Linked DNA regions of Arabidopsis thaliana. The protein of the gene in region 2 interacts with the protein of the main gene of each other region in a pairwise test. Each region holds a gene or a part of one and is shown on either strand. Other genes may lie near its edges.

Evidence for each region.
Region 1: the proteins of CYCD6;1 (region 2) and ICK3 interact in a protein complementation assay, tested with the Arabidopsis thaliana proteins (one large-scale study listed by BioGRID).

What each region holds. Positions count from the first base shown.
Region 1 is NC_003074.8:9,056,382-9,063,280, forward strand, and holds ICK3 (Cyclin-dependent kinase inhibitor family protein), read left to right. Parts: upstream 1-4,454; 5' UTR 4,455-4,608; coding exon 4,609-5,015; intron 5,016-5,114; coding exon 5,115-5,207; intron 5,208-5,291; coding exon 5,292-5,361; 3' UTR 5,362-5,622; downstream 5,623-6,899. Other genes in the region: PRT1 (proteolysis 1), read left to right, coding at 86-175, 248-487, 570-767, 921-1,039, 1,127-1,414; AT3G24820 (BSD domain-containing protein), read right to left, coding at 6,336-6,477, 6,701-6,798. UniProt on the Arabidopsis thaliana protein: Inhibits CYCD2-1/CDKA-1 complex kinase activity without interaction with the complex.
Region 2 is NC_003075.7:1,429,111-1,437,809, forward strand, and holds CYCD6;1 (Cyclin D6;1), read right to left. Parts: upstream 4,752-8,699; 5' UTR 4,582-4,751; coding exon 4,381-4,581; intron 4,283-4,380; coding exon 4,199-4,282; intron 4,126-4,198; coding exon 4,030-4,125; intron 3,949-4,029; coding exon 3,741-3,948; intron 3,671-3,740; coding exon 3,540-3,670; exon of another isoform or gene 3,454-3,539; coding exon 3,265-3,453; 3' UTR 2,734-3,264; downstream 1-2,733. Other genes in the region: AT4G03260 (Outer arm dynein light chain 1 protein), read left to right, coding at 1-32, 150-1,392, 1,481-1,627, 1,729-2,321.

The DNA.
Region 1 (6,899 bases), on a different chromosome or scaffold from region 2:
TGAGTTCTTGCTTGCAGTTTCTTTGTAGTTGTTCTATGCAAGTGTCATTTTTGTTGGTTATTGATTTGTTAATGTCATGTTTCAGAGGAAGAGCAAGAACGAGAATGTTTTTCTCCTCAGATTGATCTTGTTTTGGATTTGTCTGTGTGTAGTGGAGATTCTCTCAATGTCTCTGGTGAGAGTTCCACACATTAGATCCTTTTTCTGTCTAGTAAAATGCTTTCTGCTTACAATTTGATGTGTGTAGATAAACAGAAGGTGGAAGAGTGTTCGAATGCAGCGAACTTATTATCTAGTTCATCAAGTAGAGGTGACATTCCATGTATCCCCAAAAATCAAGAACCCACAGATGCAAAAGCTCTTAATGTTCATGAAAATGAATTACTTAAGGATAACAAAGTCAGTAAGCAGATTTCGAAAGATGATTTGCTCTGTTCAGCATGTAAGGAGCTGCTTGTACGACCCGTAGTTCTCAATTGCGGACATGGTATATAATCTTACATGTTTGATTTCGATAAATGTCATGAGTATTCGCTTTATGTGCTAATTTCCTGTTTTATCTTTTCCAGTGTATTGTGAAGGATGTGTAGTAGATATGGCTGAAGAAAGCGAAAAGATCAAATGTCAAGAGTGTAATGTTTGTGACCCAAGAGGATTTCCAAAAGTTTGTTTGATTCTTGAACAGCTTTTGGAGGAAAACTTTCCTGAAGAATACAATTCAAGAAGCAGTAAGGTTCAGAAAACGCTCGCCCATAATAGCAAAGGAAGTAAGTCCGACATTCATGCCTTGAACCATTTTGTAGTTATCGACATGTATCATGTCCTTGTGCTCTCAAAGCTTAGTTCTTGTTGTTACACAAAATATGTGAGACCTATACACAGAGACTCACAGTTTGTAATCGTTTTATCTTGATGTTTAGATATTCAAAGCTATCTCAAAGAAGGCCCGTCCTTATCAAACGACAATAACAATGATGATCCCTGGTTGGCAAACCCTGGATCAAATGTTCACTTTGGAGCTGGTTGTGATTCTTGTGGGGTAAGTGCATTATTACCTTAACCCGATTGTTAGTTGTGAAACCAAAATATGTGAATCGTAATTTGACACTGGTGCGGTTTGCTACAGGTGTATCCAATCATAGGGGATCGATACAGATGCAAAGACTGCAAGGAGGAAATTGGGTATGACCTTTGCAAAGACTGTTACGAGACTCCTTCGAAAGTTCCAGGGAGATTCAACCAGCAACACACTCCTGACCACAGGCTTGAGCTTGCACGGTCTCCTCAGGTTCTGATCAATTTCAATTCTATCGGTATCCTTCTCGGACCCGTTATCTCAAATGAAGGCATGGATACAGATGAAGGCGAGGAAGGGCCTCCTGGTTCTTCTAATGAGTCATCAAGCACAGAATGAAATAGCAGTCAAGTATTAATGCATATGCTTTCGCTTTGTGTTTGCGTTTGTTATTGTATTTATACTTCATAATATATTTTCTCCTGAGAAGTCTATGGTTTTAACATTTTAAACAAAGTTTATTTCTTAACAAAGTTTGTTTGCATTTGTGGTTGTTAAGTCACCTCTTTTGTTTATATTACCTTTAAAGTGTGATTTATTTTAATTCCTCTCATTAGTACACAACTATTATTGTTAGTGTAAAGAATCCATTTAACAAAAAAAAAGATAGAAGAAATTATCCATTTGAGACAAGATAATTGAATACAATAGTTACTAAAAGGTTAACTAGCCAAATTATTTGTTTGAATGATTAAAACTTTTTTTTGCACAAAAAAAAGATGATTAAAATCTTTTTTAAGAATATATAAAATTATGTATAAATTAAATTCTTAGATCATTTAAATACCCATATTATTCAATATTCATACTGAATCCGTTATCCGTATCATTCATTTTTTTTTTAAAAAGTACAGTTATAATAATAATTGTAATATCTTAAATTACACTTATTCGATTCTTTCAGTTATTATCCGGTATTTATCTGAAAAAGAATAAGTTTAGTCATGTAAATGTAAAAAAGAGTGAACTTTTGAAACAATTGAGGCATGTGAAAGCTTTTCAATATACATATTGGCTTGAACTTGAAGGATTGCTAATAGATAGTAACTGGATTCAAGGGACCCCATCAAGGTGAAAGATTCGCTCCTCTGAGTGCGTGTGAGGCAGCTACGATGTGATTGGTCGGAGTGTGGAACCCATGACTGCTCTTACGTCGGAAATCGTTTCTCGGGTTCTGTCTTTTTTAAAACACTTTATTATTGTATTAAAAAGAAAATAAAGGAAAAAGTTTTTTCAGTACGAGCGTGTTGTGATAACAGTTTTTTTTTTTTTTTTGGCGCCCTGAAAAAAAGGGCGGGAGGACGTGAAGAGTGTTATTGCAGATCCTTTATTTGTTTTTTGTTTTTTTTGCCTTTATCTCTGATTTTTGGGGATTCGGTAGCGTTCGAGATCTGAGCTGTTGCATGATTGCTGAGAGTCATCGCACGTGTGCCTTCCTTCTTTGTACGGTGAAAATAGTTTTTACCATATTTAAACCGGTTATAAAGTTTTGTTCAGGTTTAAAGTATTATGGGCTAGTAGTGTGATCTTTCGTGTTTGGATGAACTGATGAACAAAGAAATATCTAAAGATTGTACACAGTGTTGGTCATGCATACGATTTGAAGCATATAAAATCATGATTCATGAGAATGTCCCTTTGACATCTTCGATAAAATCATGAGAATTATGAATTATCGCAAGCTTTAAATTTAGAGATTTTTAATGTAATTCATCTTCTTCAATAATAATAAACCTCTCGATTAAGAATAATAAGCACCGGGGCATTGACATTGGGAGCCTCTACTCAGTACTCACCTTGTTGTTGTTTCACGGGTTACATATATATTAATATAAGAAGGCCTTTTAACAAAAATAAATAAATATAAGTCTGATTTAATGTATAAATGTATATCACGTAACAGTAGATTAATTAGTCGCCGCATCACGATTCTTGTTTCAAAGAAACAAAAAAGAATAAGACTGTGTTTGCTACACAAAAGAAATGTAGAAAACCAAATTGAGTCATATATTTACATTTCAGATACTATAAAGTATAAACTAAATTTTATGTAAAGGAAAATTAATTTTTCTATTTAGACGTGAGTATAAGCATGTAGTCAGACCAACTTTATTTGTTCGACAAATTTACCAACAAGTCAACTTTTGAAGCCTAATTTATGAAAGATAATCTCAACTATTACATCACAAAGAGAACGGTTGTTGAGATGATTACATAACTATAAAACTAGAAGCAACCAATATAAATGTCCAATGCTAATAAATCCAAAGAAAATAAATACTTAGGTAAGTGATCAACCCTATGATGTTAATTTTAAGACACTTGTTTACTTAAAAAAAAAAAATTTACAGTCAAATGTATCTGTATACAATTAATGTGTACGTTTTTGTCAAATGTGAAGAATTTAATAGATGGTTGACTCTTTTTTTCTTTTGAACCAATAACCTGCATGACATTTGAAAATCTGAATGCTAGCTTTTGTTTTGGATTGTTTGTACAAAGTTAACGTTGACTTGTCTACCAAATTTTATGAAACAATGAAAATGGATGCAAAAAATGAACTGCCTTATTATCTTAAACCAAAACAAATTTGACACATACAACGATCTTTGCATTATTTAACAAAAATAACTAAAAATTTCCACACGATATCAATTGCTTTATAATCATGGATGGTCTACCAAAGCAATTAATATAAGCTTGATGATCTTTATTCTCAAAGACCTTGTTACTTTCGGCAGCCTTTTATTATTTGTTGCACCAACCACTCATAAACTTTAAATACTATATATATAGTGTATAGAATAATTGGAATATATATTTCCAAAAATGTTCTTCATTTGAGAACTATTATTTTATGTTATTTTGGAGTAACTAAGAATTAATTATATAATATAAGTGAAATATAGAGTCGGAAATATGTCGTTTACTACATGAATTATCAAAAAGTTGTTATTTAATACGTAAATTTTATATATAAACATTTAATATATGTAAAAATTATTGACCGGTTATTTTACACAAACTTAATTGTTTATCAGCCAAAATTTATACCAACGTAAAAAAATTAGATAACATTAACTTAGTGTAAAATAACTTTTTTCTATATATTAAATGATTATATTCAAAGTTTACGTATTAAATGAATATTTTTTAAAAATTTGCGTATTAAACTATATTTTTCTCAAGCAAACTCAAATTAATACTTTAAATATCTCATATATTGTTCATAATTTACTTTTGTAAAGTAGACTTTTAAGTTTTAATCAGATAGAATACAAAAATTAAATTAAATTCCAATTAATTAAATTTTGATTTATCTTTTTTCGAAGAAAATGATGACAATCAGGTGAGAGGGCCTTTGACACCTTAAAAATTTGTCTAATTTGTTTTTTGATTCGATTTTAAAATAAATATTTCCATTGTCCTTTTAGTTTTCACTTTTTCAGATTAAAAATCACTTTTTTCCTCCTCCTTCGTTGCTTCCCTCCTTTCGCTCTCGACCGGAGATTCAGTAAACCACCTTCCCGGAGATGGGAAAATACATTAAGAAGTCAAAAGTCGCCGGTGCCGTTTCCGTTAAGGATAAATCTCACCCACCCGCTCTAGGTTTCCGTACCAGAGCCGCCGCCGCTAAAAACCTCGCCCTCCACCGTCTCCGTTCTCATTCCGACGAAGCAGACTCCTTTAACTACCTCCAGCTCCGGAGCCGCCGTCTCGTGAAGCTTCCATTACTCACTAATACCAGAAAACAGCAGAAGCAACAGCTCATTCCTAGTGTCAATCAATGTCAAACGAAAAACCCTAGGGCTAGTTCCGGTCCGGCGAAGAAATTAGAGCCGGATACGACGACGGAAGAAGCTTGTGGTGATAATGAGAGAATATCTAGGTCTGATTGTAATTTTGGAGATAAAGGTTTTGATTTGGAATCAGAAAACAGGTAACTTTAACTCTGTTTTTTTTTTCATTTTAAAGCTCCAAACTTTTTTTTTTTACTACAATACAGAGATTGAGTTTTGATATGTTGGTTCTCTCATAGGAGCATGATAAGTGATTCAAAATCAATACAAAGTGAGATTGAAGACTTCTTTGCTAGCGCAGAACAGCAACAACAGAGATTCTTCATTCAAAAGTACAAATCCCATTTTCTTTAGTGTCTTGATTCTCTTGAGTTTTTAGAGTTTGGTCTGACTTTGGGGGAGTTATGGTTTTGCAGGTACAACTTTGACATTGTCTCGGACAATCCATTGCCTGGACGTTACGAATGGGTCAAAGTGATGCCATGAAATGAGTTGTGTTCGATGTAAAGTTGTGTGCTTTAGGAAACATCTGTGTTGGAACAGAGGAGATGAAAATTGCACACAGACTAACTTTGTGGGGTTTTAGGGTTGGTGTATAACTTGTTAGTCAAGAATAATGTAATGTTAATCTCTCTCATTTGCTACAAATAAATGTCTAATTTAACTGTCAAGTTACTTAAATTAGTATTGTAAATCTCTTCATTGTTCTTTGGTTACTTCAGTGAAGGTCTGAGTTTTGTGGTTCTGCATTAGAGTTACTTTACAAGTCATATACTTTGGATTCAAGTAGCAAAAGTAGTGAACTTGTCTGAACAAAAACCTTAGTCACAGGTTTTATCTCTATCTTCTTTATTGATAGTTTGATACTCTAATCTCATTGGGCTTTTCACACATGTGGGTACTTGTACCAATTCCTCTGTCATACAGGTTGCAGTAAAATGCTTCGATTAGATTTCATCTCTCTCTTCTTTATTGGCACTGCACTCACTGTCTTGCTTTCTGGAATTATTTCTTCAAAAGTCTAAGTTAGTAGCACCTTTCATGCTAAAGATTAGGTTTCTTGGTTTCTGTAAAATATTTCACCTCTTTAGATCATTTGCTCATCGGATGAATCAAAACATTAAATAATGATGTCTATTCTTATTAGTACAAAGCGTTTAAGACCACTGTGTTATGTCTGATACTAGTACTAAATTCACATGATCATTTACATCTCTGAAGAATCAAAACCTTCTTGGTTTTGTCACCTTTTAACACATGAACAATATTTACTGATCAAGCCCTGCTTCTCCGATGGTTCAGCGTTTTTGTTTGGTTAATTTGTGAGCAAAACTGCAAAAGCAAGTCATAGGATGCTTAGAGTGATTTCATTCTCGTTGATAATAGTTGTATTAAGTAAATACGTAGTCTGTAATATTACAGTACCTGTCATGTTCCATCCCAACTCTACCACCGAAGCTTCACGGAGTTGCAGGTCCTGTACTCAACCTTTGCTTTGTTTCTGACATTTCAACTTCATATACACCCTTGCTTTCAGAAGTTTTACTGTCTTCCATGGCCATCCTCCTGATTTGAGCCTGTTGGATTGCTAGCACCTCATATCTGCAAATAATTTCCATGAACTACCAATGGTTAAACTCATATTTCTCGTGATCTTTATTCATCACTTTGTTACAAGCTAAAAACCCATCTCACTATCTCTATATGAAAGTGGAATCATACACAGAACAACAGAGTAAGGTGCATTTAACACCTACTAAGGGCATTACACCTGGAGTTATGGAACCATCTCAAACGAAATTTTTTGGCATAAGAAAGTACTTACTTTGCCACAATCTTCCTCACAAGCTGGAAATATATCCTCCAAAACTGATGTTCCTTTAAAACTCGCGGGCATAACTTGAATCTCAACTGTGAGAGTTCCTGTAACACGAAATCAATCTTGTTTAGAGCAGCTTTGAAAATAGATTCGTTTAAACCCAATGGTCCTATCAACCAAATTCAATTTTACCAACTGTGTAACA
Region 2 (8,699 bases):
TCAACGCTCACATCCACCGCCATAGACCTAAGGTAACTTGAACCATCATTGCCTCTTGTGTCTTTAGAACGATAGTTTTACATTCTCTGTCCAAGACTCCTTTGTCCAATAAGAGAATGCTAATTTGTTTCTATGTTCTGGTGATGCAGAAATCTGTTGAAGGATTTTCAGAACGAGTGATCAAAGAAGATGGGTCTAAATCAAAAGGATTGAGCTCAATTATATTTGGGAGAAACATTGCTTCTGTTAGTGAAAACAGCAAGCCAGCCGCTGTTGAGCGTGTCTGGAAATCTGAGGAAATTAAGCCCAGTGGCATTCTTGAGCATGGTATTGGGACGCACCAGGTACTGCATCTCAAGAAAAGTCAATCTCATGGAAATGAACTATACTTGGATGGGCGGGATGCCACAGAGAATGGAACAGACGATGCATCAGATCGGATTACTTCTCCGAATTCTCTTGAACAACAGAGTGGTATTCACGAGGCAGGCAGCAGCAAGCGTGTAGATGAAAGTCCTAATCTGTATCAGCAAGGTCCTCGAGCTTCTGTTTCTGCTTACCAGGGTTCAAATCAAGCACTCTGTGGGTCTATTTTCTCGGTTGGAGATCTTCATCATACTGATAAAGACAGCCGTCAACTCGATGATACCTCCTTATATGGTGAACAGATGGACAACTCAAACAGTCAAACACCTCATGATTCACCTTTGATGGTGAGGTCGAATTCATTGCCTAATATTGCTGACTCTTCATCAGAGAAGTCTTCACCTTTCAAATATTCTTCTCACCACTCTAGATCCTCTGATGACCTTCATGCCCTCGACACTCGCCAAACAGATAAATCTGTCCATGAGACTGATGAAGAGGTGAAGCAAGAGGAAGATCAAGATCGGGACTATGATATGCATAATTCTGGAGATAACAACAAGGAAAATCTCGTGGAGGATGGATATGATGATTCATATGATTATTCTTCTTTGGCAAAAGATTGGATCGTACCACCAACAGATGAGCTTAAATTATCAAAGTTCCTTGAAGGAGAAACAACAAACCAGCAAGCAGAATTTTCGGGAAAGGATTCTAAATTCAAGCGTATCGAAGATTGGGTCAATGACCTTCAGCATGTAAACTTGTCTGAGGAAGCTGATGAAATAACAGGGTACGATGATGAGTTGCCAAGAGAACCCGTCGTGTTGAATGAGCAAGCAACATCTTCTGCTAAAGTAGATGCCATCAAGTTAACTCCTGGAATGGAAGCTGCGAAAAAGTATATATCCTCTCTAAGTGCTTCTGCAACCACAGCCCAGCTGGTTAGTCATGGTCTGGTTGTGATACCATTCCTCAGTGCATTTGTTGGTCTGAGAGTTCTCAATCTCTCAGGAAATGCTATAGGTAGCTAAATTTTCCCTTCTTGCTAATCTTCTTCACATACTGATTGTTTTTGTTTCTTCTATTTAACTGGCCTTATTACATCTTTCAGTTAGAATAACCGCTGGTGCTCTTCCTCGAGGTTTACATGCATTGAATTTGTCGAAGAACAGTATCTCGGTGATTGAGGGCCTACGTGAACTCACTCGGCTTCGAGTATTAGATTTGAGTTACAACCGAATACTGAGACTTGGTCATGGTATGGCCCGACCTTTGCTCATCGACATTTCCTAGTTATCTGCTTTTATATGAAAACCATGTTTGATGTATTTCCCTTTTTCTTATTTCTTGTTGACTTAGGTCTGGCTTCGTGCTCCTCTCTGAAAGAACTATACCTAGCTGGGAACAAAATCAGCGAAATCGAGGGTCTTCATCGACTTTTGAAATTGACGGTCCTGGATTTACGCTTCAATAAGTTTTCAACCACCAAATGTCTTGGCCAGCTCGCTGCAAATTACAGTTCTCTTCAGGCTATAAGCTTGGAAGGTAACCCTGCACAGAAGAATGTTGGTGATGAACAACTGAGAAAGTACCTTTTGGGACTTCTGCCAAATTTGGTATACTATAATAGACAAGGCACTAAAGATGCTCGGCTCGGGACAAGCACACATCAGTTGGACCGAGGCCTTAGATCAGAGCTCAAAAACAGTAGCCGGAAGAGTAGCCATGGTGCATCCAGTTCTCACAAACCTGGATCCTCCACAGCTCGTAAAGCACCAGCATTGCAGAAACGGTCCAAGGAGAGACGCAGCCGTCTTCCACCTGTGGGACACAAACTATCTCCAGCTGCTTACGAGAATTATCACGTTGCTACTGGTGATAGATTGTCTAGTCTGAGAACTGAGCTCTCCATGCGAAGAAGTCGAAGTGAAGGAACTCTCGGACCTATCTGATCTCTCTCTCTCCCTCTTTCATTGCCTGCGATTTCCTTAGCGAGGTAACGATGAAGATGTGATAGATACACACTTTCTTCCCTTTATTCATCTTCTTCATCTTTGTGTTTTGTTGTTGTGCATTACATACATCAGAAGCTTTGATTCTTATAGCTTCTCAATAATGTCTGAAATTGGAAACCATGGTATACATTCTTTTCAGCACAGTCTGAGTCTTGCAATTGTTTTCATTAAGTAATGGGCTTGAATGGATCTTGTATATCACAATCTTGGGCCGTTATGATGCTAGTGGGCCTAATATGGGTTAGTGCAAGGGATTCATTTACAGTAAGAACAAAAGCAATTGAATGATTTAAAGACTGTGTAAAGTGGTCCAAAGAGTATCATATTGCCTGCCTGCAACAGAGATTCTGGCAACTGGATCCATATAAGTCGGATAACGAAGTCTCATAAGACAAAATCTTATTCCTGAAAATTGAATTCATTGTTATCTCGTGACCACATTTGTTCATTAATAAATAACATAACCATAGGGTTATATACACTACACAAGAACAATATTTATTGATTATTCCCCCCAAGTGAAACAACTTAACTCCACAAGCCAAAACTGTAAATACAGAACATGATTGATAGGTAGATAGATAGATAAATACTACAGACTGGTAATTTGTTTTTCTTTTGAATTTTTTGAGTTTTGTGTTGTGGTCCAAAGGAACAAGCAACGGAACAGAACCCGAGACTTTGTCTTTGATCATTCATCACTCTCTTGTCTTCCAGGAAGAGAGAAATGGTTTATTTTTGAAGCAGAAGAAGATGGATGGAGATAAGGGGAAAGGAAGCAAGTGTCATTTTCATAAGGGGACCAGAAGTGGTTTTTGAAGTAGCTAAGTGATTGATTTCATCTGACGATTATGTTTGACCATTAACCACCTTTTTCAGCTTAGTAACGACGAGTACTAGTTTTCCTCCTCTTAGGTGAAGAAGAAGCTGTGATTGTGATGCTCTTATCGCTTTCACAACTCGAGAATTGCTGATCAAGCACATTTACTGCTGTTTCAGTGCTTCCTTCGTTTTCTCCAACTATAATATCTCTCTCTTGTATTGCTTTGTAACACTCCATTAACTCATCCTGCAACCACGGTTTAATGCTCGCTTAGTACCGCGATGAAAAAAAAGCTCGATTTGAGATGGTTTACTTGTTCAAGACTTCTTTACCTTATTTACATATGTGCATTGGTTGATTCTGTTACTGAAACATGGAAACTGTAGAGGACAGAGCTCGAAAGAAGCAAAGAGAAGTGCCGCGCCTGCAATCACCGATGGTTTAAACTCGAGGAAACTGATATCTGCAGCGTTTTCAAACAGATTTTAGCATATTGTGATTATGTGATTGAAGAAAAGCAATTCTGTATTTACCATGTTGAAGACTGAAAGTAAGATCACTGGTTTGAGATTTGAGGGAATGTTTTAGTAGTAAAGGATCTTCTTCTTTGAGCTCAAAGAGACTAATGAAAAAGGCCAAAAAGGAGAAAGGAGTAACAGAGCGCATCCTCCATTTAAGAGCTCCTAGAATCACATTCTCCATTCTCTCTATCATCTGAGCATCAAAAAACTCACCTTCCACCTGAAAAAAATCCAATGTTCAGACACTTATCAACACTTTAAAACACATTCACATTATAAAGATTCATGAGTTTTAAGTTACCGGAAGATCAGAAACAGACATGTCTGGTTTCCTCATTTTTGCAGACAAAGAGACACAAGAGAGAGATATGAGCTTAAGAATCCAGGGCTTTGACTGCTGTTGACAAAACAATTTAGTCAAAACTCAGATGAAACAAAGGACAGATTCTGTCGGAAGATTCTGTTTTTACCGGCATATCTTCGCTAGACAAGAACCTGTCTAGATAATTCACAGCAAGATACGTCAGAGATGGGTCGTCGAATTTTCTTGAATACTGCGATTGTTCAGTTACAAATTAAAATAAAGTTAAGTCTTTCGATAACGATTCAGTATTCAGAACTAAACCCAGAAAATAATTTTGGTTAAAAAGACCTGAGTGATTGAAGAAATGGCTTGGTTTCGATTAGAGAGAAGAAAAGCAGAGGACTTGAGGCTATGGAAGTAATGAGAAGAAGGCATGTGTTGAAACTCGACGAGGAAGAGAGAGTGTGGTAAAGTTTCATAGTCTGTGTCGTCGTTGAAGTTATTGTGGAGTGAAGAATGTGAGAGAGGATGTTCAAGATGAAACTCCATTGATTGATGATAGACTCTTCTTAAGCTTCCTTCTTTCTTGAATTGGTGTTAGAAGATGAAGAAGAAGAGAGAGGGACAGAGAGACATTAAAAGAGAGAAGTTGTCTTTATTGTGAGATAGAGAGAGATGGTTTTCGGTCTTTTGAGAGATTTTCCACATTTATTTATTACTACCACTTTGGTTATTTTTTTATTCGATTTTTTCTCATTGATAGTAAGAATTAAGATTTTATCAAAGATAATCAAATCTTTTTCAAGAGATTCTTCTTTTGCAATATTAGAAGGAAAAAAAATCCAATATTCTCTCTTAAATTCTCTATAATCCTCTGTTTTTAATTAAGTGTAGTTCAATAATTTTTTATTTTTTTCAATATAAATGTTGTTTTCACTTTTCTATGCAAACATTAAATGTATTTAATAGTTTTTAACCAATTATATTTTGCATCATATTTTTTTATTGGTTGGATTAGTTGTAATTAATGGTGTTTTTATAAGAAATAGATAAATTAAATGAGATTTGTATGTTTTCTTAATTTGTATGCAAAAACCTTAAACTACAAATATTCATAAACAGAGCCGTTTGTATTAAAAATTTATAACCGTAAATTATTACTTAGTTGTTTAAAAAATATGTAATACACTAATACGTGTAATGTTTTTATTAGATTTTATTACAAATTAAGTCAATAATTCAATAAATAAATAAAATTGCATTTTAGTATTAATATCAAGTACCAAACAATTAAAAAATCATATTGAAAAAAAAACCAGCATAATATATATAGATATTACATTTTGTTTGAGTTTTAGATCATGTAAATTTAGTATCATGCTAAAAAAAAGTTCTTCTATGAATTTTGTGTGTGTTAAAGTTCTTTCATGAATTTGGTAAGACCCAACTTTAAAATATACTAAGGCTGGGGAGATTAAATATGATAATAACATATACTATCGTTAAACCATTTTATTTACCACATAAAGTTGTCATTTACTCATAAATAGAGCTGATGTAATGTACAGTTTTATGTATCAAAAGATTCGTCACTTTGGAATCTCGTCCAAACAGTTACAAACATTGATTAACTTTAGAAATCTTTTTAAGTCTTTGTTTTGTTTTTAATCATCATTGTATCACACATTTTAAATTACTAATTAGGTTGTGACAGCTTGGTTTTCCTTGTCCTTAAGTCTTTGTACTTACCTTTTGTTAGGTTTTGAAATTCCCAACATATATATTCAGATTATTTTTTTTAAGTCAATAAAGAAAAATTGAGAAGTCAATGAACAAACTGCCATGTGAAAACGCCATTTGAACAAACTTTTTGTTTTTATTTTTTTACTTTGATCTTTTACTGCCAAAGCCTGACTGGTCTATTTTTAGACGGAAAAGAAAACATTAATTTTATGTAGAAAATGTGAAATGCAAAGGCCTTTGAAACTCTAGATATGAACGAAATGAAAGAAAACATTGACTGACCTAACAAACATAAGAATTTATATGCTTGTAACGTAAGAAAAAACAGCTTATTAGTTTTTGGGGGTATTAGTATTTGTCCAAAAAAAATGTTTTGGGAGTATTAGCTAATAAACAACAGAAAAGTGTTGATAATAATATAGTTTCTTGTTTTTTAAACAATATAATAGTAATATGTTTCATAGAGAAAGAGTGACAATTTTTTGTTTCTTTTTAACAAATGCCAGATTTTGAACCACTTTAAAGAATAAAAAAATATTAGATATTTATTGCAAAAGAAGTAATTGAATCAAAAAACTTTTAAATAGTGGAAATATATACCCTAAATTGGAAATAAAAACCCCAAATATAATACTACAAACTAATTTTAAAATGAAAAATCTCTTTTAAATGGTGAAAATATATACCCTAAATTGGAAATAGGAAACCCAAATATAATACCATAAACTAATATTAAAAGGAATCAAAATTTTTTTTAAATAGTTAAAATATATACCCTAAATTGGAAATAGAGAACCCAAATATAATATTTTAAATTTATTTCTAACTTATTTTGGTTGAATAGATTTTATATAAAATTGTGGTATTATTATTGTCCATAAAATTGTGGTATTATTATTTGAGTGCTATTTATGTCTAAAAAACCTTTTAATGCTATTTTTATCCAAAAAACTTAAAAGTGTGCTATTTGTAGGAATTTCTCATTATAAAATGGGTACTAGTGAAGATTGAACAAATATATCACCTAAATTCTCAAACCAACCTACTTTGTTTGAACTTTAAAATGATACTTCTTTTGCTCTGTTTTTATTTTCTTACTTTCTTCCATAGATACATTACTACTTTGGCTTTAAATGGATACTAAAAAAGCGACTAAACTATAAGCGAATTACTCTATTAAATTTTTGAAAGCAGACAACAATTTACTGCAAACTAATTTTGTTTTAATGTAAAAGCAATATGAAGTAGATCCGTATCAACTTAATTTCGTATTTTTTGATACGCACTTCTAATGACTATAATTTATGAATGATAACAAACGGATTTGTCTGCTCTACCCGCTCCAACAGTCAAACCATTTGTATGTTATTTTCTTACTTCATTGTTTCATATATAGGTGATTGTCTATTTTGTTATACTAATGGTTCGATAAGATTAGGCTACCAACAAAAAAAACAATTAACAATATAACAGCGAAATATAATTTTAGCTAGTTCCCTGCTAAAATGTACTTTGTTTCTGCACTTGCAGAGTGTGTGGAATAGAGTGAGATATACACGACCAAATAATGAAATTACGTTACAAATGTTCAATTGCATGACTGCGTAATGTATTTTATCCAATTATTATATGTGATGCTAATTATACTACATTTCAAGTAAGACGTGTCAATAATAAGTTGATTATCATTGGAAACCTTTATATAGATTAAAGATATTTGCATTGACCGGTCATCTTATAGCCACAAGGATTCATCATGATCAACGCATATAATAATACAAGAAGAATTTGAATTAACAAAACCTTAATGATATATGTATGTTGCTCGATTCTAATCACTCTATATATAATTACCAAATGTATAAGGAAGACAGGTCATTTGTTTATTGTTACTATATGGAAAAATGAATCCGATGAGTTTCGTAATTTCCCGTGGAATCCAAAGCTTCGACATATGCAAATAGTAAAAGTTAAATGTTGATAACGGAGATTGCAAGTAATTGATAATTAAATGTAAATATTTGACTAATGGAGAGGGAGTTGCTAAATTCAAGATTGTTAGTTTACCTTCTGTCGTTAACAACTTTGATTATATCAATTATACACATAAATCTCGTATGACTCAAGTGTGTATATAAACTATATATAAAGCATGGGAGGTGCTTTTTTCTTTATATTACCAATTTGATAATATGAAAAAACAAAAGATAAAAAGGGATCAGGAGCAGACGAATATTAGAAGAAGCAAGCCTCAGTGACTTTATGAGCTCACTTCTTTGCCTTGGGGTGCCTTGCTTCACCATTGCGCCATCTTTTTATATTTGATTATGGTATTGACGTATTGTTTGTACGTACTATTAGTTACTCATCATTATATATGTGTTATAATATCCTAGGTCAAATATATTTGCAAATACACTAATTCATTATAAATTCCAATGGATTAATTATAATCGGGATTTTATAAACACCTTGACGTGATCCAACATATGTCTATTCTCTCTCTTGCTGCATTAAGATTATTGAAACACATGCGGACCAAATTAAAAGTATTATAGAATAAATACTATGAATACAAGGCATATATACTAATCAAACATGCAGAACCATGATAGTGTAGCAGAAATAAGACTTTAATGCAGTATTTACTTATCGAAATTATATGGACCATAAAAAGTGTCAATGTGTGAATAAAATCCAGTTAAGACTCTAAAATCTAAATTATGATTTTAAATAACGAATTTTCAAGGTTTTGAATATGATGCATTAATTGTTGCAAAAAGAGGACAAGAAAGATAGGATGCATTGGATGGAGGGAAAGCCTGAAAGCACTCCGCAATTAAATTTATTTTCATTTCTTTAAAGTTTTAGTTATGTTTTTTTTTTTTTTTTTTTATCTTTATAAACATTACTGTATCCTTCTT